Mus musculus: one gene and its partners. The main gene of each other region encodes a partner of the protein of the gene in region 2 in a complex. Links are inferred from orthologs where the notes say so. Each region holds a gene or a part of one and is shown on either strand. Other genes may lie near its edges. The genes, in order: Kat6b, Meaf6 and Jade2.

What was found.
Region 1: Meaf6 (region 2) and Kat6b share a complex: the UniProt entries of both Homo sapiens proteins name them as parts of the MOZ/MORF complex. The link is inferred for Mus musculus from reciprocal best matches to the Homo sapiens genes MEAF6 and KAT6B.
Region 3: Meaf6 (region 2) and Jade2 share a complex: the UniProt entries of both Homo sapiens proteins name them as parts of the HBO1 complex. The link is inferred for Mus musculus from reciprocal best matches to the Homo sapiens genes MEAF6 and JADE2.

The regions. Positions count from the first base shown.
Region 1 is NC_000080.6:21,497,517-21,505,270, reverse strand, and holds the start of Kat6b (histone acetyltransferase KAT6B), read right to left. Parts: upstream 5,487-7,754; 5' UTR 5,311-5,486; intron 5,282-5,310; exon of another isoform or gene 5,123-5,281; intron 4,818-5,122; exon of another isoform or gene 4,193-4,817; intron 1-4,192. UniProt on the Homo sapiens protein: Histone acetyltransferase which may be involved in both positive and negative regulation of transcription. Required for RUNX2-dependent transcriptional activation. May be involved in cerebral cortex development.
Region 2 is NC_000070.6:125,081,373-125,089,196, forward strand, and holds the start of Meaf6 (chromatin modification-related protein MEAF6), read left to right. Parts: upstream 1-3,788; 5' UTR 3,789-3,804; coding exon 3,805-3,894; intron 3,895-4,772; coding exon 4,773-4,888; intron 4,889-7,824.
Region 3 is NC_000077.6:51,820,517-51,828,240, forward strand, and holds part of Jade2 (E3 ubiquitin-protein ligase Jade-2), read right to left. Parts: intron 6,160-7,724; coding exon 6,043-6,159; intron 4,892-6,042; coding exon 4,427-4,891; intron 681-4,426; coding exon 563-680; intron 1-562. UniProt on the Homo sapiens protein: Scaffold subunit of some HBO1 complexes, which have a histone H4 acetyltransferase activity. Acts as an E3 ubiquitin-protein ligase mediating the ubiquitination and subsequent proteasomal degradation of target protein histone demethylase KDM1A.

The DNA of each region.
Region 1 (7,754 bases), on a different chromosome or scaffold from region 2:
TGCTAGCTCGTAAAAGTGAGAGGGTAATAGAGTCAGCTGGAGGCCTGTAAAGTCTAATCTGGCTGAGCTTCCGTCTACATGACCACTTCTCCTCAGAGACTAGGGAAGCAGCACCTGGCCTTAGCTGTAGCTTTAGACAAGTATAAATTCAAGACAGAGAACAGAAAAAAACCTGAAGGTTTGCAGTGGCAAGGCTGGGGGCTGGGGGGGGAGGTGGGGGAGGGGGCAGGAAGAGTGTGGGGTACTCAGTTACACAACTTACAAAGTCAGGAAAGCTTTCAGGAGATAATACTCCATACTCAACTTTTTGACCACAGGGTAGGGAAATAGTCTTTAAAATAAAACACACAAAAGGCACTGCCCATAAAGAAAAGACCAATAAATCAGACTCCATTAAAATTAAGAACTTCAGTTCACTGAAAGACATCATAAAGAGAATGAAAAGGAAAGCCGGAGGGTAGAAAATGTATTTGTAACATACACACAGGACAGAGAGCTTGTAGTCACAGTAGCTTCCAGGTCAACATGGTGGCAAAGCATTAAAGGTACTTGCCATCAAACCTGCTAAACTTGAGTTCCATCCCAGGGACCTATACTGTGGAGGGAAAAGTTGTCCTCTGACTTTCACCCAAGTCTTGGTGCATGAGCCCACACACATGCATACACACACACACACACACACACACACACACACGGTGTAAACAAATGGTTAAAGAACAGCATTTTTAAAAAAAGAACTTCTAGCCGGACGTGGTGGCGCACGCCTTTAATCCCAGCGCTTGGGAAGCAGAGGCAGTTGGATTTCTGAGTTCGAGGCCAGCCTGATCTACAAAATAAGTTCCAGGACAGCCAGGGCTACACAGAGAAACCCTGTCTCGAAAACAAACAAACAAACAAACTTCTAAGTAGTAATAAAAGACTCAGTTCCAAATGAAAAGATGGGACAGAGGGGGAACTTTACCATCGAGAAAAGCTGAATGACAAATACATGAAGAGCTTCTCAACCTGCTTACTACTCAAAATTTAGACAGGCTAAAATTTTAAGTTAACAAGTCTGAGAGTTGGAAAGGAAAGAGAAGCAATAGGAGCGAGTGTTCTTGGGAAAGTTTAACCAGTGAGCAGTACGACAAATACACACTCTAGTGCTCTAGCAAGGGTAACCACACAGCTCTTCATTCAAAGCCAAAAAGGTTGATTATGCTGAGACAACAGATATAGAGCAGAGCATGAGGCGGCCCTGCCTATAAACCAACAATGCAACTCTACGTTCAAGAAATGTGTACACATGTGCATCACGATATGTATGTTGAGATGCTTCAAGCAAACCAAAAACAACTAAAATACTCAGCAACAACAGAAGAGACCATGAAAATTATGTCCCTCTGCCCTAAATCTTCTATCGAAAGTTTACTATTCTTACTACAACCCACCTTCCTACGTCTCCCCAAACCAACTGACTTTTCTAGATACAAATGTAGCTATTGCTCTGTATGTGGAAATCAAAGGCCAATTACTCACAAAACTAGCTTAGAAACTACAAGCCAGACACTTGGTTAAAACTTTTCTAACAGGGAAATGAAATGTCTAAGAAAGGTGCAGTGACAGGGCTCACATAAGTAAATGCACTTAGTGATAAATCTGAGTTTGATACCTTGGAACCCACGTGGTGAAGAAATCAGAACTCCAAAGTTGCACCAGTGCACATGTGTGTGGGCATTCATACAAGCACACACATGAACATATACACACACGAGCATATGCACGCACACACACTCAATAACTGTTAAAAAAGAAAAAAGTAATGTTATAATCATTTGTTAGAGCCCAGCGGTGGTGGCACACACCTTTAATCCCAGCATTGAGGAGGAAGAGGCAATCAATCTCTGTGAGTTGGTCAGACTGTTCAGGACTGTAAAGCTACTGAGAAAGAAGCCCTGTCTATAAATAAATAGATAAATAAGTGTCATATCTGCTTCACCCATCCTGTTTACTTTCTATTCACAGGTCTTACCTCTGATAGCGTCCACCTGTTTCCACAAGTAGTTCATTAGTCCTTAACACAACACAATCATCAGCATCCACCCAGAGGCCCAGGTACAGCCGAAAGGTCAAAGTTCAGCTGACCCTGTCACCTAAATTCTTCCTTTAAGTTAAAACTTTCCTTCCTCAGTTTTTCTTCGCTTACTTAAACACAGGGTTTTAACTACTACCTAGGCTGACCTCAAAAGCCAAAGATGACCAAGGATTACAGGCTCCTTACCCATTACTCCTTAAAAACAACAGCTCACATTCACTCTGCTACATGTATAATAAATTTCTAATAAGCAAGCAGTCAAGTGTATTTTAGAGTTGCATCAGGAAATGAAGGGTATACTAGTATGAGGAAGAATGTACTTTCTACAAACACCCACTTCGCTGGGGCTGGAGAGATAGAGGGCTTGGCGGGCACAGCATGGAAAGCAGGAGGTCCTGCGTTTGGATCTCCAGCACCCAGGTGAACGCTGAGCGTGGTTTAGACTGCCTGGAGTCCCAGCAAGAGCAGGTGAAGACAGGCAGCCTCCAGGAGCTCGACAGCAGACCGGCCAGCCTAGCAAAAATGGCCAACTACCACTTCGTAAGAGACTTTATGTCAAGGCAATATGGCAGGGAGAGATAGAGGAAGACATTCTATGTCGTGCCCTGGCCTCTGGATGTGCACACTTGTATGCATCAAATGCACAAAATGTGTTTGCATACATCTGCATGTATGTGTGTGCACAAGCACACACTACTGGAGTACAAAGAACTAACACAACTAAAGTCCCATGCGCTACTTCTACCTCTTGCCCATACAAATCTGTGCATACTCTTTCCCTTGAATTTCCTGGTATCTCCACCCCAAGTTCACTGGGTCTCTAGCTATTGCTGACAACTGTAATTCCTTATCACTGCTCCTTCATAACTTCCACTACTCTCACATGAACATTCTTTCTCCCAACTGCAATTGTTCAAACTCCTCCATGGTGCAGGTCACTAATTTGCCCTTCTTCTGCCTTTACCCTGCCAGGTCCCATTACTCCCTGCACTGTGCCCAAACCAAAGTCCTACCAAACTCAAAAATACCAAATGTTCTTGCCCAAGGTAGCAAGCATCCATGTCTCTTCCTAGGGACACTCTATGCTCTCCCTGTTCCTGCCACACCTTCAAGACTAGGCTTGAAGTTTACTCCAAACAACCCCAGCCATCAAAATTAAAGTCTCCATAACCTTTCTTGGCTCAATGAAGACTGGGGGCACAGTCCATCAAATTATAGCACCCAGACCTATTGCTCAGTGCTGCCCTCGTTCACAGCCACAGCCTTCCCCTAACTTTGAATCACCTGTCCTGATGAGATGTTCTAATATACTGCTGCAAATTACAAGCAGCCTCTCTCCATTCCCTGCTCATTAAAGTCTCTTCTGCTACCTTAGAAAATCTCCCAAACTTAACTAATCCATCCTTCCTTCTGTTTTCTTAATGTTTCATTTACCATGGGCCAGCAAACCACTATCCTATGCCAACATGAGGATTCAGCCTGATTCTTCCACCAAAGAAACTGTACCCGCCTCATGAACCCATCCCCAAGACGAACCAACACCAACTCAGCAATACTCTCTCATTTACCACACCCAAATTCATCCTTAGTGTGTCCCCAGTTAACGGCAATCTCGCCAGTCTGCAGCACTTCACCAGCCCTCACACAGTCCTAGGTACCCTTCCCACTTCCACCAAAATTTCGCCCCTCCCTACACCCCCTTCTACACCTGTTTCTACACCTCCCGTTTCCCATCTCATCTCCCGTTCTTTTAATCTTGCCCACGCCCTCGTCCGACCCCTCCATCCATCCTACCAGTTCACTCTTGCACAGAAATCCCCTCCCAGCCCAAGCCTTAGAATCCCTCTGCCCCGCCCCTCCCGACTTTGCCCCGCCCTTCCATTCCTGAGCCCCGCCCCTTGCCCCGTAGGCTCGGCCAGGGGCGGAGCTTATTCCTCCTCCCTCCTCTCCCCCGCCCCCTACCGTCACGCTCAGGGGCAGCCTGACCCCGAGCGGCCCCGCGGTGACCCTCGCGCAGGGGCCTGTGGGAGGGGCGTCGAGGGTCCCAGGCCACCCCCCCGTCGGTCCCCCGCCCGCCTAGTCTCCTCCCCCTGGGAACGCGCGGGGTGGGTGACAGACCTGGCCGCGCGCCACCACCACCGCGCCTGCCGGGGGCGCTGAATCTGCCTGAGAAAGAAGCTACGGCTGCCGCCTGGAGGAGGTGCCGTAGCGCCCGCCACCGCTGCCGCCGCCGCCAGGGGTAGGAGCTAAGCCGCCGCCATTTTGTGTCCCCCTGTTGTTGTCGTTGACATGAATCCGACATGACACTGATTACAGCCCAATGGAGTCTCATTAAACCCAAGACGCGGCCCCGCCCCGGCGCCGTTCCATTGGACGAGAGCACGAACACTTAGGGCCAACCGTTGGCCTACGGGTCTGTCCGTCACCCGCTCGCTAAACACTCTGCCCCCCATTGGGGCAAGTTCCTGCCGGTCATCTCGCCTCCACATAGACACACCTCTCGACCCATCATTTCCCCCCCCCCACCTCCGGCACCACCCCGAGGGAGGGTCGACTGCCAGTACCAATCAACAGACCGCGGGGCCCGCCTTTTCCGGGCACCTATTGGTCCAGCCCTTTTTCTCTCTCACAGACACCGCGCCACCTCTACTTCCACCTACCCGCCCCCTCTACCTCTAGAAATGGATTGGATCTAGGCGCAGGAGAGGCGCTTGGCCTTATTGGCTGTACACGACGCCAATCAGAAGCCTTTTTTCCTCTCCCCTCCCCCACTCAACCCCAAAGCCCCTAGCCCGCAGCTAAAGTTTGTGTGAGAGCTGATCGCTGGCGGCGGCCGCAGGATTTAGGGGTGGGCGCAGGCGGGCGCGCGCGGGCGGGCACGCGAAGTTAAAATTCGAGGTTCTCAGTCGCCTGCTCCCGCCGAGGAGCGCGCGGACGGGCGCGCCGCCCGGAGCGTTCCATCCAGCCCCCTCCTCCACCCTCTCTCCTGTCCTGTCCCGGGCGACTACTCGCCCGCCCCCTGGCTTGCACCCTACCCCCTTCACATACCCCCTACCCTGCCAGCCTCAGGCCGGGTGCAGGCGGAACGATCTCACTGCAGCCTCTTCGCCATCCCATACGGAGGGGGAGCAAGCCCCCTACCCACCGGGTGTGCACCCCCGGCTCCGCACTCGCCCGTGTCTGCAAGCACGTGCACTATTCGCCGCTGCCTCCGGCCACCCCGGTCCCCGGCTAACCTCGCCTCCAGCCCGGCCAATCGCTTGCTGCCCTTTGTTGCTGCAGACCGGGTCTCCCCGCTGCCTTCCTCAGCCTCCGCCTCGTCCTTTGCCAGCCGCCCGGGTCCGCAGCGCCGCGCTCCCCCCGCCCGGGACCCACCGCCGCCGCCTCCTTCTCCTCCTCCGCCTCCTCCTCCTCGGCTCCGGGCTGCAGCGCACAGAGCCCGAGGCAGCGCCGCCCAGCCCCGCTCCCCCCGCGCCGCCCGCTAGCCCGCCTGGCCCGGCCGGGGGCGCAGCCCGGACCCCGCCCGCCCCAGTCTCCGCCCCGGGGGTACCTGCCTCCGCCCCGGGGGGCTCCGCTCACCGCCCTCAGGGGAGGGCGGGGATGCCGGTGTCCGAAAGGATGGGGACGCCTGGGCTGTTTTGGGGTGGGGAGTGTGTCCGCCAGGTCTGGGACTGAGGTGCGGTCTTCTTAAACGCGCCCCCCCTCCCGCCGCCGTGGGCCCCAAACTTCGTCCTTCTCCCGGGTCTTGTACCCTCGGGCGACCGCGGCAGTTTTGGGGTGGGGGATGCCTCAGGAGCTGTCTCTACCCTGATCAGGAGGAAGAGGGAGCAGTGACATTCAGCGACTGCGGACAGGCATCCTCGGGTGGGAGTGGGGATGTCAGACGCAGGCTGGAGAGGGAAGCTGCCCCTCAGGATGCCCTCTCCCGGCCTGCGGGAGAGGCTGGCGAGCTCGGAGCTGCGTTCTGGGTGCTTCCTGGACTGTGCAGCTGGATAACATTGGGGTTGGGCGGGGGGCGACCGCTGGGGGGCCCTTCCCTCGTCTCCAACCAGCGCTGTAAGGAAAGCTGATGGCGAAGTTCGGTTTTCCAGGCTTCCCCTGGGCCCCCGGAGTTCCTGAGGCCCATACGAGGGAGGCTGGGGGATCCTCTGGCCGCCCAGGCAAGGCTACTCTAAAGGTGCCCACATGCCTTGCAGCGCCCTCCGGACTCTGGAGAAAACGTCCTGCTCTTCCCAGAGTTGGGTGGGATGCTGGTAAGAGATACTTGAGAGTATGAGAAAGGTAGACTTGAGAAAAGGCTCCTCCTAACAGAGTTTGAACAGTTTCTCTTCCCAGACCTTTGGGAAGAAGGGAAACAAACCTATGTCCCTGGGAAAGCCAAGTTTCCCCGTGTGGTGGCCGGGGTGAAAAACCACCTGTTGCCTGAAGTTCTGTCCTTGAATCAGGACGTTCTTGGGGCCCCTGATGAGGAGATGTAGGATGTCAAAGAGCAGGAATTTCAGTCTCCCTGCCCTGAATGACTCATTTTCATGCCACTGCCACTCCTGCAGCAGAGTTCAACTCCCCGTTAGAAACTACTGTTCAACTATGTAGGTACTTTGTTAGACCCAATAATCTCAGTTCTTATCTTAGCAGCAGCAGCAGCCCTGTCACATGCAGACAGAAATGCACAAAGGCTACTCTGGTGTGCGAGCTTCCTCTGCTTCTGAGCTTGGCAGCAAGGTGAGGAAGAAGCCAGGACAAAAGGCAGAGGTGAATGAAAGATTAAAAAAAAAAGAGGGGAGAGCAGATTAAAAAAAAAAAAAGAGGGGAGAGCAGAAGACTTGTAACACTACACTCAGAACTGTCACCAGTTCCATTATAAACCTCTTTTATAGGTGTTTTATTACTTGGTTGTTAGTTTTTAAAACACAAACCTCTTTAGGTTAAATCCGGACACTCTCAGACTCAGCCCAAGGAAACGAAACAAGGTAAACTCAGCCACTGATCGGCTTGGCAACTTTTGAATTACATTACTGATGAAGCAAATGCCGCCCCCAACCCCACCCTCGTTGGGTTTTCTAAGTCTCTTCCTGTCTGTTTCAGTTAGGATCTTCAATAACTTGCTCAAGGAGAGTTTTCACAAGCCATTAGTCCATAACTCAGTCCTGTTCATTTAGATTGTTTCCAAGAAGGGCATTTATAAGGTGTGCTTTTCCCCCCATAATACACATGCTAGGTAGGAATTTTCTCCAAGAAGTTACAAAGTAAATTTAAGGATACTGGCTGACTCATTAGCCCTTCTGTTTTGCTTTGTTGCATTTCTGATAGTCTGCCCAGATGCACTTTATTTTTTAAGTTACATTTTGGTCCCTTGGGGTGACATTTATTTTCTTGAGACAAGGTCTTGCTCTGTAGACCATTTGGCCTCAAACTCACAGCAGTCCTCCTACCCAGTCTCCCAATTGATAGAATTTCAGATAGTAAACCACCACGCCCAACCCTCAGACTGCATTTTATCTGGAGCAATAAAATAAACCATGTCTTAAAAACAAGGTTTAAAACTCTAGATCTCTATATTCGAACCAAGTATGTTAAAGATGCAACTAAAACCAGTAAGTCAAGTCTACGATGGCCAGCCTTCACTCATCCCTTTTGCCACTAAAAGGAAGGCCTGACACTTAGAGCTGTCACAGTGCTA
Region 2 (7,824 bases):
GGACAACATTTAATTGGTGCTGGCTGACAGGTTTAGAGGTTCAGTCCATTATCATCAAGATGGGAGCATGGCTGCATCTACACAGGCATGGTGCTGGCAGAGCTGAGAGTTCTACATCTTCATCTGAAGGCTGCTAGTGGAAGACTGATTTCCAGGCACCTAGGATGAGGGTCTTAAGTCCATGATCACAGTGACACACCTATTCCAACAAGGCCACACCTCCTAATAGTGCCACTCTCTGGGTCAAATGTATAGAAACCATCACAAGCACTTTCTAAGAAAATAAAATTTGAAGTGCTTTAAACATGTACTCCTCATACCACAACTCCCTATGCCCAGCTAAGCAGGATTTGACTTTTGCAAATGAGAGAGCTGAGGCACAAAACAGTGGAAGTCACAGAACACGTATGTACGTGTGTGTGTGTGTGTGTGTGTGTTTTATCCCCATGTGTGTAAGCCTGGTACCTGTGAGACCAGAATATGATGCTGGACACACTGGTTATAGACACTTCGTGAACCAGCATGTGGGTGGCTGGCAATTTAATGCAGGTCCTCTGTAAGAAGCACAAGCATTTTTAACTGATGAACCCTCTTTCCGTGTTCTTTTTAATTAAAAGGGTTAATTTTGTGTGTTTGGGTGTTTTGCCTGCATATCTGTCTGCATCTCATGTATCCCTGGCACCCTGGGAGGCTAGAGAGGGAGTCGGGTCCCCTGCACTGTAGTGACACAAAATTGTGAGTCACTGTGTGGGTCCTGAGAATTGAACCTGAGACCCCTGGAAGAGCAGCCAGTTCTCTTTAACTTTTAACCTACCTCTCAAAGGCTCCATCTGTGGTTTTCAGTTTTCTGCCCTGATGCTGAGAATCAAACTGTTAAAACTTAAAACCTTGGGCTCAGCAGTTAAGAACACTGACTTCTTCCAGAGGTCCTGAGTTCAATTTCCAGCAACCACAGGTGGGTCACAACCATCTGTAATGGGATCCGATGCCCTCATCTGGTGTGTCTGAAGACAGTGACAGTGTACATACATACATAAAATCAACAAATCTTAAAAAAAAAAAAAAAAATTCAAAACCTCTAACTTAGTTCCAGAGGATCCAACACCCTCTCTTGACCTCTAGCGGCACTGCAAGCATGTGCAGAGACATGTATGTAGGCAAAACACCCATACACATGAAAATTAATCAATATTTAAAATAAGGAAAACTGCCAAGGAGGTCAGGTGCGATGGATTAGCAGGTAAAGCACTCACTGTGAATGAAGCCGGAGGAGTGTAATCGACAGAACCCAGCTGGTAGAAGGAACCAACTGACCCCTGCAAATCGGCCTGTCTTTCACACCTGTGCCCGGGCGTGCTAAGCACTGAACACAAGTAAGTGTTAGAAAGTACATTTAGAATTGGCAAATTAAAACCCAGTAAAATAAGGAAGAGAAGCACGTATAGAGAGGTGTCCACTGAATTCAGCAATGCACAAAAAGAAACAAGATGGCCAAGAAATTTATTCCTGACATTCAAAGCCGCTACATCTGAAAGTCCATCCACGTTCTCCACCATGTTATGTTTAAAGAGGGGCTGGAGCAATGGCTACGCTGGCAGGAGACACAGGTTGCATTCCTAGCCCCGACATGCTGGCTGACAACTGTGACTCCAGCTCTCTCTCTGGCTTCCACTGGTACCATGGTACAGACACTTGCAGACAAAACAGAAAAGAAAAAGTCTGAAAAAATATATATATATATTTAAAAAGCTAAGGATGGCTGGGCATGGTGGTGCACGCCTTTAATCCCAGCACTTGGGAGGCAGAGGCAGGTGGATTTCTGAGTTCGAGGCCAGCCTGGTCTACAGAGTGAGTTCCAGGACAGCCAGGGCTACACAGAGAAACCCTGTCTAAAAAAAAAAAAAAAAAAAAAAAAAAAAAAAAAAAAAAAAAAGCTAAGGATGCTGAGCCACAAAGGCGACATGTTTACCATGACCACCACCCTAAGGCTTAGGGGCCATTTCAGACGGCCAGAGCCAGAGGTCGGGGAGGAATGAGGTGAGCAGTGCCTTCTCCACATGGACAGGTCAGGGCTGCTGTATTCAGGAGCCCAGCAGCTGTAGCTGCTTACAAAAGACTGGCCTAAGATCAAGCCAGTCATCTTGGCAGCATGTAGGAGAGAGAGGTGCCCAAGCCTCCATCCCTAGCTAAGAAGCTATCAACAGTGGGTGACTCCTGTGGGGGAAGAGTCAGCTTTAAGGTGTGGGCCCTGGTAGGTTGATCACTTTCCATTGGATGATCTCACACCTATAAATATATGGGCATCTCAAATTGGGACTCAGTCATTAAAACGGGGCAGGGGGAAAAGCTGGAGAGAGGATGGATCAGAGCTCTCCCCCAGGACCCTGGTTCAATCTCCAGCACCCACATGGCAGCTTACAACTATTCCTCCAGTCCCAGGAGGATCTGATGTCTTCTGGTCTTCTTGGGAATTGCATGCATATGGTACAGAGACATACATGCAGGCAAAACACTCATAGACATAAAAAGAAAATTTCCAAGGTCTGATTGTTATTTTTTTGAGCCTAGGCTAGCCTCAAATTCTCTGTGTAGTTGAGGCTCATCTTGATTTTTTCCCCCTCAAAACAGCTGTCCTGTCTGTCTTCGAGTCCCCTGAGTGCTGGGAATAAAGACATGTGCCACCATGCCTGGCCCTGGGAGGTTCTTCTGTGGGCCAGGCTGGCAGGAAAGGAAGAGATGCTAGACTCAAATTCAGGGATTTGTGCAAGCTTGGGCTTAGGCAGATATTTTACCAACTGAGTTTCATCTACAGCCTTGACTTTCTTTTTTGGGGGGTGGTGGTGAAACTGTCTTATATAGTCTTACTGGCCCAAATACTATGTAGTACCTTGACCTTCCTGCTTCTTTTACCGCGGCCTCTTGGGTGCTAGAATTATAGGCATGTACTACTGGAGAGGAACAAGAGATTAGTGAAGAGGTTTGTGAGAGAGAAAATTAGGCAAGAGGAGTTTTAGAAAATTGAGAATTTCTCATACCTGTTGAACAATATACATCTAGGGCATAGAAACCCAAGGACATCCACCCATGGGGGCAAAGAACGCCACCTAAACTACGAGTGACGTTGCTGAGCACTGAGAATGCAGAGGTGGGCTCAGGGTGTACCTGTAGAGTGCTTGCTTCGTCTGTCCTGAGATCCATCCCCAGCACCTATTAACAGCGGGCATGCTCAACACATGGAATCCCAGCAGTGGGAAGGCAGAGGCAGGACGATAAACTCACGGTCTGTTTCTGTTCAATACCAGCCTGGATACAGTTCTGGATCTGAAGATAGAAGCTAATTCTTTCATAATCCTTCCCCTCCGGCAAACCACGTACAACAGGAGATCTGCTTGCCTGTGCTAAACCCAGCAAGATGTTGGTTTGGGGATCTTCTCTGCAACCCGGTTGGTGGGCGGAACCTTGCTCAGGTTTTCCACCTGCAGTTGGGTGGTGTTGCAAGGACCTCGTCTGCCGGGAGACATATGGAATACTCAACAGGCCTATGCTGCAGCTGGGTTCTCGATGTAGTGAATGTCTGTGGGTGTCTGTTAAGCTCAGAGGCCCACAGTGGAGCAGCAAGGAAGGTCCCACACGTACAAGCGCCTCTCCGCGCCGGCTTTCGCGCGCTGAGCCGGCCAGCTTCCCCGGAAGCCGCGCGCGCAGGCGCGGTGTGGGGGGTCGCGCCCCCTGGCGGCCAGCGGCGACAGTGCGCAGGGTCCGCCTACTGGTCGCGCGCCGCCGCCTCCGCCGCCGCTTGAGCCCAACATGGCGATGCACAACAAGACGGCGCCGCCGCAGATCCCAGACACCCGGCGGGAGCTGGCCGAGCTGGTTAAGCGGAAGCAGGAGCTGGCGGTGAGTGGCCGAGGCCTGGACGCCGTCCCCACTTGGCCTCGCAGGCAGCTCCGGAGGCGAGGACGGCGGGCAGCCAGGGTCTGGGCGCTCTGGGCGGCCGGGCGCGGCGCGGTTCCCTGCGGCGGCGCGGTTCCCGGCCTGCGCTCAGTGGGGCGGGGCGGGGCGGTGAGGGCGCGGGAAGGGCGAGAGGCAGGAGGCGGGGACGACGCTCAGGTCGGGTTAGCGGTTGGAAAGGAGGCGGCTAGACCCCGGCCTGGAGAAGATGCACGATGGATTCCATGGGCGGCGCGTTTCAATGGCCGGGGAATGTGGTGTATTTGAGGATGCCAAGGAACGGGGCTGGCGGGAGACCCAAGACGCAGCCTAGGGAATTTGGATTGGTGACGCGCACCAGGAGCCGCCGGCACCCTGCTGACTGCCCTGTAGGCTCCCGCCTTTTACGGCGAGCATCCGGGAGGCAAAGCTCACCTGAAGCTGCCCTTCCAGGTTTCCATAGCAACCGGCATCCACTGCGGGCGGCCCTTCCAGAGCTAGCAGGGAGGAAGCAGTTGATGTAGAAGAGATGCTTTTGAAAAGCTGTTCACCCTTCTCGCTGCTGGTAGCAACACATTTAGTGAGTGAGAATGGAGACAGCTCACGGTCTGTCTCATCCCTGCTCGTGACAGCTAGGTTTTGCCTCTGAAGTAGATGCAAAATCTTGCATGTGTGTGCATTTTCTGAGGATAGACTATACATTTCATTCTATTTATAAAGGGGTCCATCACCCCTACACTTCCACAGAAATGGTTCATTGTGGGTAAGCTTGACTTTACAAGTCTGTGACGGAATTTCAGTTTGCTTAATGCTTGTTTTTCCCTGTCCCTGTTTTCATCACCTAGGAAACACTTGCAAACTTGGAGAGACAGATATATGCTTTTGAAGGAAGCTACCTGGAAGACACTCAGATGTATGGCAATATTATCCGTGGCTGGGATCGGTATTTGACCAATCAAAAGTGAGTGTCAAAATCTAGTAGTATTAGCTGAGCACTGGTGGTGCACGCCTTTAATCCCAGCACTTGGGAAGCAGAGGCAGGTAGATTTCTGAGTTCGAGGCCAGCCTGGTCAACAGAGTAAGTTCCAGGACAGCCAGGGCTATACAGAGAAACCCTGTCTGGAAGAAAAAAAAATCTAATAGTATCTCTCCATTTTATCCTCTACTAATATTTGGCTGCAGGATTTTTGTTTTGATTTAAAACATGGTCTTACTATGTAGCCCTGGTTAGCCTGGAACTCACTAAGTAAAGCAGGCTGGCCTCGGATTCACAGATCACATAGCTCTTTCTCCCTCTGACTTCTGACTGATAGATTTAAAGGTATGGACTGTCATGTCCAGCTTGGGACATTTGCTTTTGGCATTTACTCTGCAAGGAGATGGTAGAGCCGTAGTGTGGAATGGGGTCTAAGCTTGAACTTGTACTCTGACGGCTCACGGAGAAACCTTGGGGAAGCCAGTATTTGTGATGAAAGAAAATAGGGCCCATGGTGCAGGGATGTGTGGGTGTAAGTGAAGTACAGCCTGTGACCGAACTGTCTTCCACATTTTCATCAGCCACGCTGTGCCATTACGATCTTTGTTCTACCTCCAAGTTCATTGTTACCACTGTCAGCTCAGTCATGCGATTGTATAAAAATGCCTACGCTTGTGAGGAATTTTTCAAATCTGTAGGAAAACTGAGATGAGAATGTGCATGACCAGTTAGTGTTTTTCCCATGTATTCATGAGTTGCTAACTCACTGTGGGTGCATGCTCTCTCTGAAGTACGAAAACTTCTCTGTGTGCTTAAGAACCTTTTGTTTGGAAATAATTTACAGATGGCGATAGAAAGCTGTACAAACAATAGACATGGCTTGTGTGTGCTTACGTAGTTTTCTCTGATGGTTACGTTTTACGTAACTATAGAGTATCATCAAAATCAGGAAATCAAGATTGGCTGTGTGGGGGTGGGGGTGGGGGTGGGTATGGCATTTTAACGTATGTGTATAACTACAGGATGTGAAACCAGGCCCAGGAGATATTGCTCGGTGAGTAAAGGCGCTTGGTGTACAAGCCTGATGACCGGAGCTCAGTTCCCAGAACCTGTGTTAAAAGGCACAACTGGCAACAGGAGAGATGGCTCAGCAGTTAAGAGCACACACTGCTCTGGCAGAGGACAGGAGTTCGACTCCCAGCATCACTGTTAGGTGCCTTACAGCTACCTGTAACGGAGCCCCAGGGGATTAGACTCTGTCTACTGAACTTTTGGACCATCCCCCACCCCCACCCCCACCCCTGCCATTTAACACACATGTGTAAATGCACGTCTGGAATTTTAGCATATGTGGTGGGATTTGGGGACAGGAGAATCGCTCACTTGGGAAGTTTGCAGGACAGCCTGAACTATGTAGTGCTGTCCAAATAACCAGATTGCCTCTGTCTCAACAAGGTAGAAAGCAAGGGCCACTGGTGGAAAGCTGCCCTCTGATTAGTGTGTGTATAAAGATGCAGACCCATTCCGCCGTCACAGGGTCTCCTCCCTGCTCCTCCTCTGTGGTTACATTGCTGTTTGCCCGTGCTTTCTCTCCCTGCTAACCATTGAAGAGTTAGGCGCTTACACCACGAATCTCTGCCTCTAAATATATTATCAGTTACTTCCTGAGAAGAGCAAGGCATCTCTGCATATAACTCGGATGCTTATAGCTTAAACATTAACACGGATTCCTTCAGATTCCCTTGGTTGGCCCCACAATGCTTTGCTACTCTTTTTTTGATCCTGGATCCAGTGGCTTTCGGCAGTTATGTCTCATTAATATTTTGTTGTTGTTTGTTTGTTTGTTTGGAGACAGGGTTTCTCTGTGTAGACCAGGCTGGCTTCTGACTCACAGAGATCCACATGGCTCTGCCTCCCGAGTGCTGGGACTGTAGGTGAATGTCCTCGTGGCCTGCAGGCTCCTGCTTTAAGGGCTCTGTTCTTTGTCCATTGCTGCAGGGGCTACAGCGCAGGGCGCTGAGCATGCTGGGCAAGTGCTCTGCTGCTGAGCTGAACCCCCAGTCTGAGTCCCAGCTTGTGACCCTCTGGTTCTGTACCTCTGTCTTATTGGGTGACACGTTGTTGGGTGGTCCTATGATAGCTCTGCTGTAAAAGTTCATTTCTTTTTTTTTAAGAATTATTTATTTTATGTATGTGAGTACACTGTAGCTGTCTTCAGACACACCAGAAGAGGGCATCAGACTCCATTACAGATGGTTGTGAGCCACCGTGTGGTTGCTGGGATTTGAACTCGGGACCTTCGCAAGAGCAGTCGCTGCTCTTAACCGCTGAGCCATCTCTCCAGCCCAGGTTCATTTCTTCATATTGGCTAGACAGTTTAGTGAGTACAGGTGCCTGTGGACAAATCCGACTACCAGAGCTCTGCTCTGCCTCTTCTGTGCTGGGATTAAAGGCACGCAGCACCCCACACAGCTGTACGCACTTTAAACAATTTACTTATTTATTTTATGTATATAGGTATTGTGCCTGTGTGTATGTCTGTGTACCACGTGTGGCCTAGTGCCCTTGGAGGCCAGAGGATAACATCTGATCCCTTGGGACTGGAGTTACAGACAATTGTAAGCCTCCATGTAGGTGCTGAGAATCAAACCTGGGTCCTCTGCAAGAGCAGCCAGTGCTTTTAACTGCTGAGCCATCTCTCCAGCCCTCATTTTATTTTATTTTTTCATAGTCATATTTTGATTGAAAAAATTTCTTGCTTGTCAGAGTGGCACACATTTCAATCCTGGCACTCGGGAGATAGAGGCTCATATACTTCTATATGAGTTTAAGGTCTGGTCTGCATATATAATTCTAGGCCAGCCTCAAGACTACATAGTGAGATCCTGTCTCAAAACAACAACAACAACAAAGTCATTTAT
Region 3 (7,724 bases), on a different chromosome or scaffold from region 2:
TTCCTGTGTGGGGGGGTGCGTGTTAAGCTTATCTTCCCTTCACATGTCCAGACTCCATAACTATCCAATTAAGCCAATGTCAACACCTTTGCTCCTGGTTTCTCGATCTGCTAAATGCATGTTATACCTAAAGGATAGAAGACACATCTGATCAGAGCCTGAGTTTCATCACATGACACCACAGAGAGGGCGACACAGCCACATCTCCACACAGCTGCCTTCCTGAAGACTGAACCCTACGCTTACCAGGGTTCAGGGGAGCTGGCCAGCTCTGACCTGTCTTGAGCCCAGCAGAGTCAGGAAGACTGTGGTCTGCACCTGTCCTTGTGCAAGCTAAGCCACTGTGGATGGAACTGGGCTATCCCAGTGATGCCCCTGAGGGTAGAGGCTTGAAAGCCACAGTCCAAACTCTGTTTTCTCGCCTATCAGCACAACCACGGCCTTCACTGGTTCCCACGTGGATCTGTTATGTCCGTGAGAAGGAACCTGACTGAAGGGTTCTGGTCCCAGGCCCTTCCAGGCCGCATAGACACATCTTCCCAGCAGGGGGCGCCGTGCCTACCTCTGCAAAGGTCTTGCTCAATAAGTTTCATCTGTAGATGGAATATCTGCTCCTGAAGTTTACAGATGGTGTGTTTCGTTCTCTCCCGTCTTGTCACCATGTAGCACAGGTTCCTTACCTGAAGGGACACAGGAGAGATTTCTCACCTCACCTACTGCTGGCCATCTCAAGGGGCCTCGCCGCTGGGAAAAAAAGCAGTGTTTTGAACACCAGCCACTGCTGCTGCCTCCCCTCTGCCTTAAGACAATTGAGAATTCACCCCGAAACCCTGAGCATGCAGGGAGTATCTGGTCTCGAGCTGGCAACCCTCTCTTCCTGCCTAACACCCGCCTTTCCCAGCAAAGCAACTCTGCAGCAGATACAACCATCATGGCAAAACGCAGGCATGTCCCAAGGCACAGGTATCACTGTACTTTCAAATGAACACAATCTGGCAAAATAGCTTTTCCAAGTCTACCTGCTATCCCGGGACCTGAGCCAGGGCCTTGCCCCCTGGGCCAATGCTCCCATATCCACAGCAACATGATGCCTGACTTTATAAAGGACAGCAGCCCCTGACTCCCTTGGGCCAGCTGGTTAGAGTCCCTACAGTAGGCTTTGAAGTCATCTGGCTTAGCCCAGAGGACGGGCACACATTCTTCAGGTTGGCTGGCAGGATATGAAGTGGACCTGTCACTGCCTGTTCAGGGTTCCTCTATCCCCTAAGGACTGCTCTCTCACATACTTCCAGGCTTCAGCCCTGGAGACGCTCCCTCCATCTGGTATCACCTTTGGGCTCATGTGGAGTTTTCCAGAAACAGGGACAGTTACTGACCATAGCTGCTCAGCCTGGATCCTATTCCCACTCAGGCCTCCCTTTACACAGTTGCCAGGTGGTCTTCAGGTCTTACTTAGCTGCCTGAGTTACCTTTAATTAAGAGCTTCTCCTTCCAGCCAGGTGTGGTGGCGCACGCCTTTAATCCCAGCACTTGGCAGGCAGAGGCAGGCAGATTTCTGAGTTGAACCTCTGCCTCTCCTTCCTATGACTCCGGCCTTCCTAGCTCGAGGTAGTATGAGCAGATCTTTATCAGGTGTGACCTTCCTTTCCCTTCTGAGACTACTTGAGAAGGAGATCCTAGGAGGTCCAGTGCGGCGGACAGCATCACAGGAGGGATTCAATATGGACTCTGCCATGACATCCCGTGTGACATGTACTCTGCTGTGACATTCCATGCGTGTGTGTGTGTGTGTGTACTCCTCACCTGCACTGGCAACACCAGGCCGTCAGGGTTCACTCATTGCTGACTCCAGCTTTATCAATTCCCATGTCCAGCCTCTTCCTCCAGGGACAGCCCTGGGTTTGAACCACTGGTAGCAGCCTGTGCACCTCTTACCATGACCCACTTTCCAATCAACCTCTTCTTCACACCCCTCTCCTCCTGCACTTTAGCCTGGCTCTGTGCCTTCCTCCATTCTGGAATAAATTTGTATAGGGGCCAGCATCTCTTTCTTCCTATTGCCTGCCACCCAGCAAGGCAGGAAGAACTCCCTGGAGCAGATGGCCTAAACCGGGACACCCTAGCCCAGCAGGAGGTGGTGACAGTGTACTGGAAAAAGAAAGGAGAGGCAAAACCAGCAGGGGTGGGGGGGGGTGTAAGCAGGCCCTGGGGGTGCACCCTCCGGGCAAAGGGGAGTTGTAGAAGACTTATGGCTGAAAACTGGACTCATCCCCACTACCTGTTCTCTTGGTCCACACCCACAACTGACCTATCAGTACATTTGCACCAGTCTCTCCTTGTGGCAGATACCAGCTCTCTTCACAGCCTGGTTCCACCCTTCCCCATCCCCCATCCTTTCACAGGGACAGTAAAACAATCCCTCAGCAATGCTCTTGAAATGCAAATCAGACCACTTCCTGGCAAACTTACACCTTCCAGGGCCTCGATGGCCTCTACATGGGTGGAAATCCGCAAGATTTCCTGCTGGGAACCTCAGAATGGGACATAAGGTCTCAGAAGATAAAAGTAGCTAAGATGAAGTCATCTCGGGTTGGGGTGGGCCCATGCTTGATTATGACTGAATGAAGACAAAGACCTGGAGAATGGAGTGCTGACTGACTGGGTGGACAGAGTGACTGTGTCACCAGCCAAGTGCTGTTAAGGATTTTGGCCAGGGACCCCAAGGCAAACAGCGAGATCAGAAAAGGAAAGGGTCTGTTTCCCATGGTTCCTCTCCATCCTTGGAGGGACGCAGGGGTGAGGCTACCACATACTCATCTCCGATGACCGAGAGCTCCGGCCACCCTCTTGGGTCTCACACAAGGTCCATTCAGTCACTGAAATAAACTCTTCCAGCAAGAACCACAATCATGTCCTGCAGGGCCTAATAGTCAGCGGTTGCTAGGGGACATGAGCTGGCATCTGCAGGCTGATGTCCACTACTGCAATCTTTCTGTCAGCCGTGAATAACTCTGGACGCTGTGGTGGCCGTGCCCATCCACGCTGCCTGCCAAGGTCCAGGCCTGCGGCTGAAATTTGTAGGAGAGTGTATCTTTTGGGTTGGCCGTAAAATTGATTTTCTGCTGGTGGCAATTCTGCTCCTGACCCATCAGAGAAGATGCCCGTGCTGGAGCACCAGGCCTTGCAGCTCTGTGGAGCCCACTCTCAGAATATAAGGCTTCACCTCTCTTCTATGAGCTGAACTGCTTATGGGGCCAATAGTAATAAAAATACCAATCTGAAGTAAGGAAGGGGCGGGGCGGGCTCAGATCCTTATCATCCTAGTACTTGGGAGGAATGGGTGAGGCCAGCCTGGGCTACCAGGTGAGAAGGTAGCTTCAAACAACACAACTAACAGTGGAAGCCACTATCCTTGTGTGACTCCAAGAGATGGAGGCCACTGTCCTTGTATGACCCCCTAACGCTGACCCCAAGGTCAGTTGGATCCTTACTTCCAGTTCAAGGAAAAGGAAACAGAAAGTCACCCATTAGGGGAAAGGGCCCAGAATCAGTACAGGGCCAGACCACCCAAGGCCTCTAACTCCAGCCCTGCCCTGTCCCTTCAATGCAGGAGCAGGACCAAGCTGGCCTGGTGCCCAGGCAAAGGTGGACTACTCTCAGCTATTGGCCCTGGGCCATGGTTAGAGACTGGGCCTGCTGGCCAGGCCACTGCCACTATGGGGCCTTGCAGAGAACCCCTGCCCCACCCCCATAAGAGCACTTGGTCCTTTGCATTGTTAGTCAAAGTTACCAACATGTAGCCCCCAGAGGGACTGAGGCTGGACCCCTGGAGCTGGGTCTTATTGCTATCTTTGATAGCTTTCTTCTTCAGTCTTCTAGAAACCTCCTCCTTCCCCCAACACACACATGTCCATCTCCCTCAGCCCCAAATATACCACAAGCCACAATTCTGTCCTGCCTCCTAGAGTAAAGACGGAAGTGTGTGTGGCTCAGTCACCCAGGCCAGGCCTGGAATGCCTCTGTGGGGCAATGCCAAGTGTGTGACATCTGTCCCAATCCCTGTTCTCTGCCTGGCAGGCCATGGGAGTCTCTCCCAATCCCTGTTCTCTGCCTGGCAGGCCATGGGAGTCTCACTCACCACCCACCCCTGCCCTCCCAGTTCTGGCCAGCACAAACATGCCTGGCCAGAACAACCCTCCCCCCCCCCACCCCCGGCCACCAGGATTTCCTCTGTCTAAAGCTCCCAAGAGACTTCACAGAGTTCCAGGTAGGCTCTCCCACCTCTTTCTAGATGTTCAGATGGGTGGCACCTGTCCTTGGAGGGGTCTGTGGTAGCCCCCTGAGTCTTTGGAGCCTACCAAAGGCTCAAACTGGGCAGGGCACATGGAGTAAGAGGTAAGGCCCCTGACCCACCAGGGCTACTTACCCTCTCCAGGTCCTGCCGCAGGTGGGTGAAAAGCTTCAGGCGTCGATAGAGGACATCCTGTTCCTGTTGGGCCAGGTTGTCCACCTCGTCAGTCTTGGGCGTCAACAGCGGCTGGTTGGCATTAGCTCTCCGCTTCAACTTCCAGTACTGGTAGATGAAGTCCACCAGTGCCTCAGCCAGGTCTAGCCGTTCAGCCACCTCAGCTGGCTCCACTAGCTCATAGAAGTTTTCTTCCAGCTGCTGCAGCCGCTGCTTGCGTAAGGTCACCTTTTCCAGATCCTCAACGGCCTGGCTGGGCTCCACAGGCTCAGAAGTAGGCTCACTCCGAGGGCCCCCGTCACTGTGCTCCTGGCAAAGTGACTTGAACTTGACCTCGTCATTGTCAGCTAATATAGTCCGCATTTCCAGGCCTCGGTCAAAGGCGCACGTAACGTGGAATGCTGTGATGCAGGAAGGCATGGAACACTGGAGAGAGAGAGAGAGAGGAAGGGCAACGTCAGGCATTAAAGGAGAGCCAGGGGACAACATAAGGGCCATCTAAGGCACCGAGGAGCACACACAATGCTGGGGAGACACTACATAAAATGGCACAGGCTCCCACATCACACAGTGTTAAAGGAGCCATGGGACACCTGGGAAAGGTGACAGAGCAAATCCCAGACATACTGAAGGAGCCAAGAATCACAAGGAGATGACGCGCCCCTCGTGGGGACAAGATGCGTGTTGTCCGTGGACAAATGACTTTGGGATTAGAGGGGGTTTGGGTGGGGGAGCCTGAAGAGGGTCACAGTCTCCTCTACTGTATTGTCATCCAAGCCAGGAGTCTGCCTGGTGCTATTCTCTGAGAGCAGTTGGATCCTGCCTTCTCTTATCTAAGCAGCTAAAGGCTGGACCGACCATTCCTCCCAGCCCTAGATGTGGACTGGACCGCTGGAAACAGTTCATCAACAGTGTCCCCAACATCAGGTTCCATTGCTACAGCATCCAGAGCCCTTCTGGAGGTCGGATAAACGGGGTGGAGGCATACTAGCAAGGCCAACTGTGTTCTTGGGGAGATGGGAGGGACAAAGGAGGGCTTCCACCCCACAGCTGAGACCAGAAGCACCGGCAAACCCTGCTGTGTGAGAAAAGCAAGCACACAGCTCTCTTCACATCTCAATCAGAGCCATGGGTGCTAAAAGCTTCGTGTGGTTTGAATGGCTCGGGTGATCCCGACGATCAGCAAGATGGGAGCCGCCATCCCAGGTAGACCAGTAAGCCCCTGTATTGGTCAGGAAGGCCCATTTGCCGAGCTGGAGAGGAGTTCAGATTTCATTCCTCTCGAATGTCAGGGTTACAGTCTAAAAGGTCAATGAATCATTAAGCCCAGAGACACTTGCTCTCACGGGGAAAGCCAATTCTTAGTATTCCATGGGTGGGGTCTGTCCCCATTCCTTGGAAGCCTGGGGACATATGAATGTACCTTCCTAGTGGGTGAAGCTCCCACACGAACCTTGTCCTAAGCCTCTCAGGTCCATCAGTGATGCAGCCACAGGGGCTATATGGTGGTAACTACTGGTATTTTAGGTACCTTAGTGCATCTGTCTGGTACCAGCAGAAGGAAGCAGGCCACATACCTGGATGCAGGTACCTGTGCACTCCTTGCAGAGGCTGCAGGACAGGGCCCAGCGGCTGGCCGGAATATGCGAGATCTTGGTAATGGGCTCCATCTTCTCTGGACAGCCAATGCTGACCTGGGGAGAATACAGACAGCTGCCTCAGTCCCCAGGTGGGATCCTGTCAGTCATAGCCAGACAGTGAGCAGACAGAGCTGTGCATTCAACTCACAAGTCCCAAGTCCTCCTCGTCTCCACACATGCAGAGCTGATGGTCTGAGTCCCCGATCCTGCCCTAATCAAGTACCTGCTCACTTGGAACCTGCCCCAGAGTGGGCATATAGAAGAATGTAGCTGGCTAAGAGAAGCATGCACCTGGAACTGTAGACTTTGAGGCAAGGAGGTGCATGTGTACACGTGTGAGTTCTTGTATGCCACAGCGCAGGTGTGGAGGTGAGAGGACAACTTGCAGGGGTAAGTCCTCCCTTTCCACTATGTAGGTCCTGGGGATCGAACTCAGATTGTCAAGCTTAGCAGCAAGCACCTTTAACCTGCTGAGCCGCCTTGCTGGCCCCCAAGCGTACAGTCCTCAATAGGTCGATCTCCCTGCAGTAACCAGGAGAAAGGGCCTTCAAGATGAAAATCTGACACAAATAACCACTATTCCAGAAATGGCAAGGTAGGCCCTAGGAGGACAGAGAACTAGGAAGGGAAGAGTCACATGCTGGCAGGGTCTCCTAGGTTGCTTCTAGGCACGGACAGCACTGGGCAGGCACCTCAATATAGAAGAGCTGACCACAGCCTCAGTGAAGATGGCTACTGTGGACCCAGCCTGCTGTCCATGGCCCTTCCATATGACCCCAGCCACAGGCCACCTCTGCAGCCACAGGAGCAGGCCCATTAGCCAACGTCCTACTACTGTTACCTTCTAAACTAGGGGATCATCTGCCCTTTGCTTGATTTTGTGACAGAGTTATATAGCCCAGGCTAGCATCAAATTCAAGCTGATGATGGCCTTGAACTCCTGATCTTCTACTCCCATCTCTCAAGTGCTGGATTTACAGGCATACATCACCAAGGCTGGTTTCATTCTGATTTTAACCAAAACTTTGTTTGATGGAGTCCATAATCTGAGCCTCCACCCCAACCCCTTTGCATGACTAAGGTCTAGACCTCAAATTGTCCCTCCTGAATTTCCCAGTGCCTCAGAGTTGGGAACCAGACCTATGACAAGGTCCACAGACAATGTTCCCAGTTGTTCCTAGACCGGTTTGTGATGGTTTATATATGCTTAGCCCAGGAAGTGGTACTATTAGAAAGTGTGGCCCTGTAGGAGTAGGTGTGGCCCTGTAGGAGTAGGTGTGGCCTTGTAGACCATGGTCCTAGCTGCCTGGAAGGGAGTATTCCTATTCCGCTAGCAGCCTTCAGATGAAGATGTAGAACTCTCAGCTCCTCCTGCGCCATGCCTGCCTGGATGCTGCCATGTTCCTGCCTTGATGATAATGAACTGAACCTCTGAGCCTGTAAGTCAGCCCCAATGAAATGTTGTCCTTGTAAGAGTTGCCTTGGTCATGGTAAAACCCTAACTAAGACACTGTCTTTCTAAGTCTTCATGGGAACCCAAGAGCTCCTTCTTTTCCTATATTCTGTCACATAAATTCTGCCAGGCCCAACCTGAGCTCTCGACACACTCCCTCCACCAT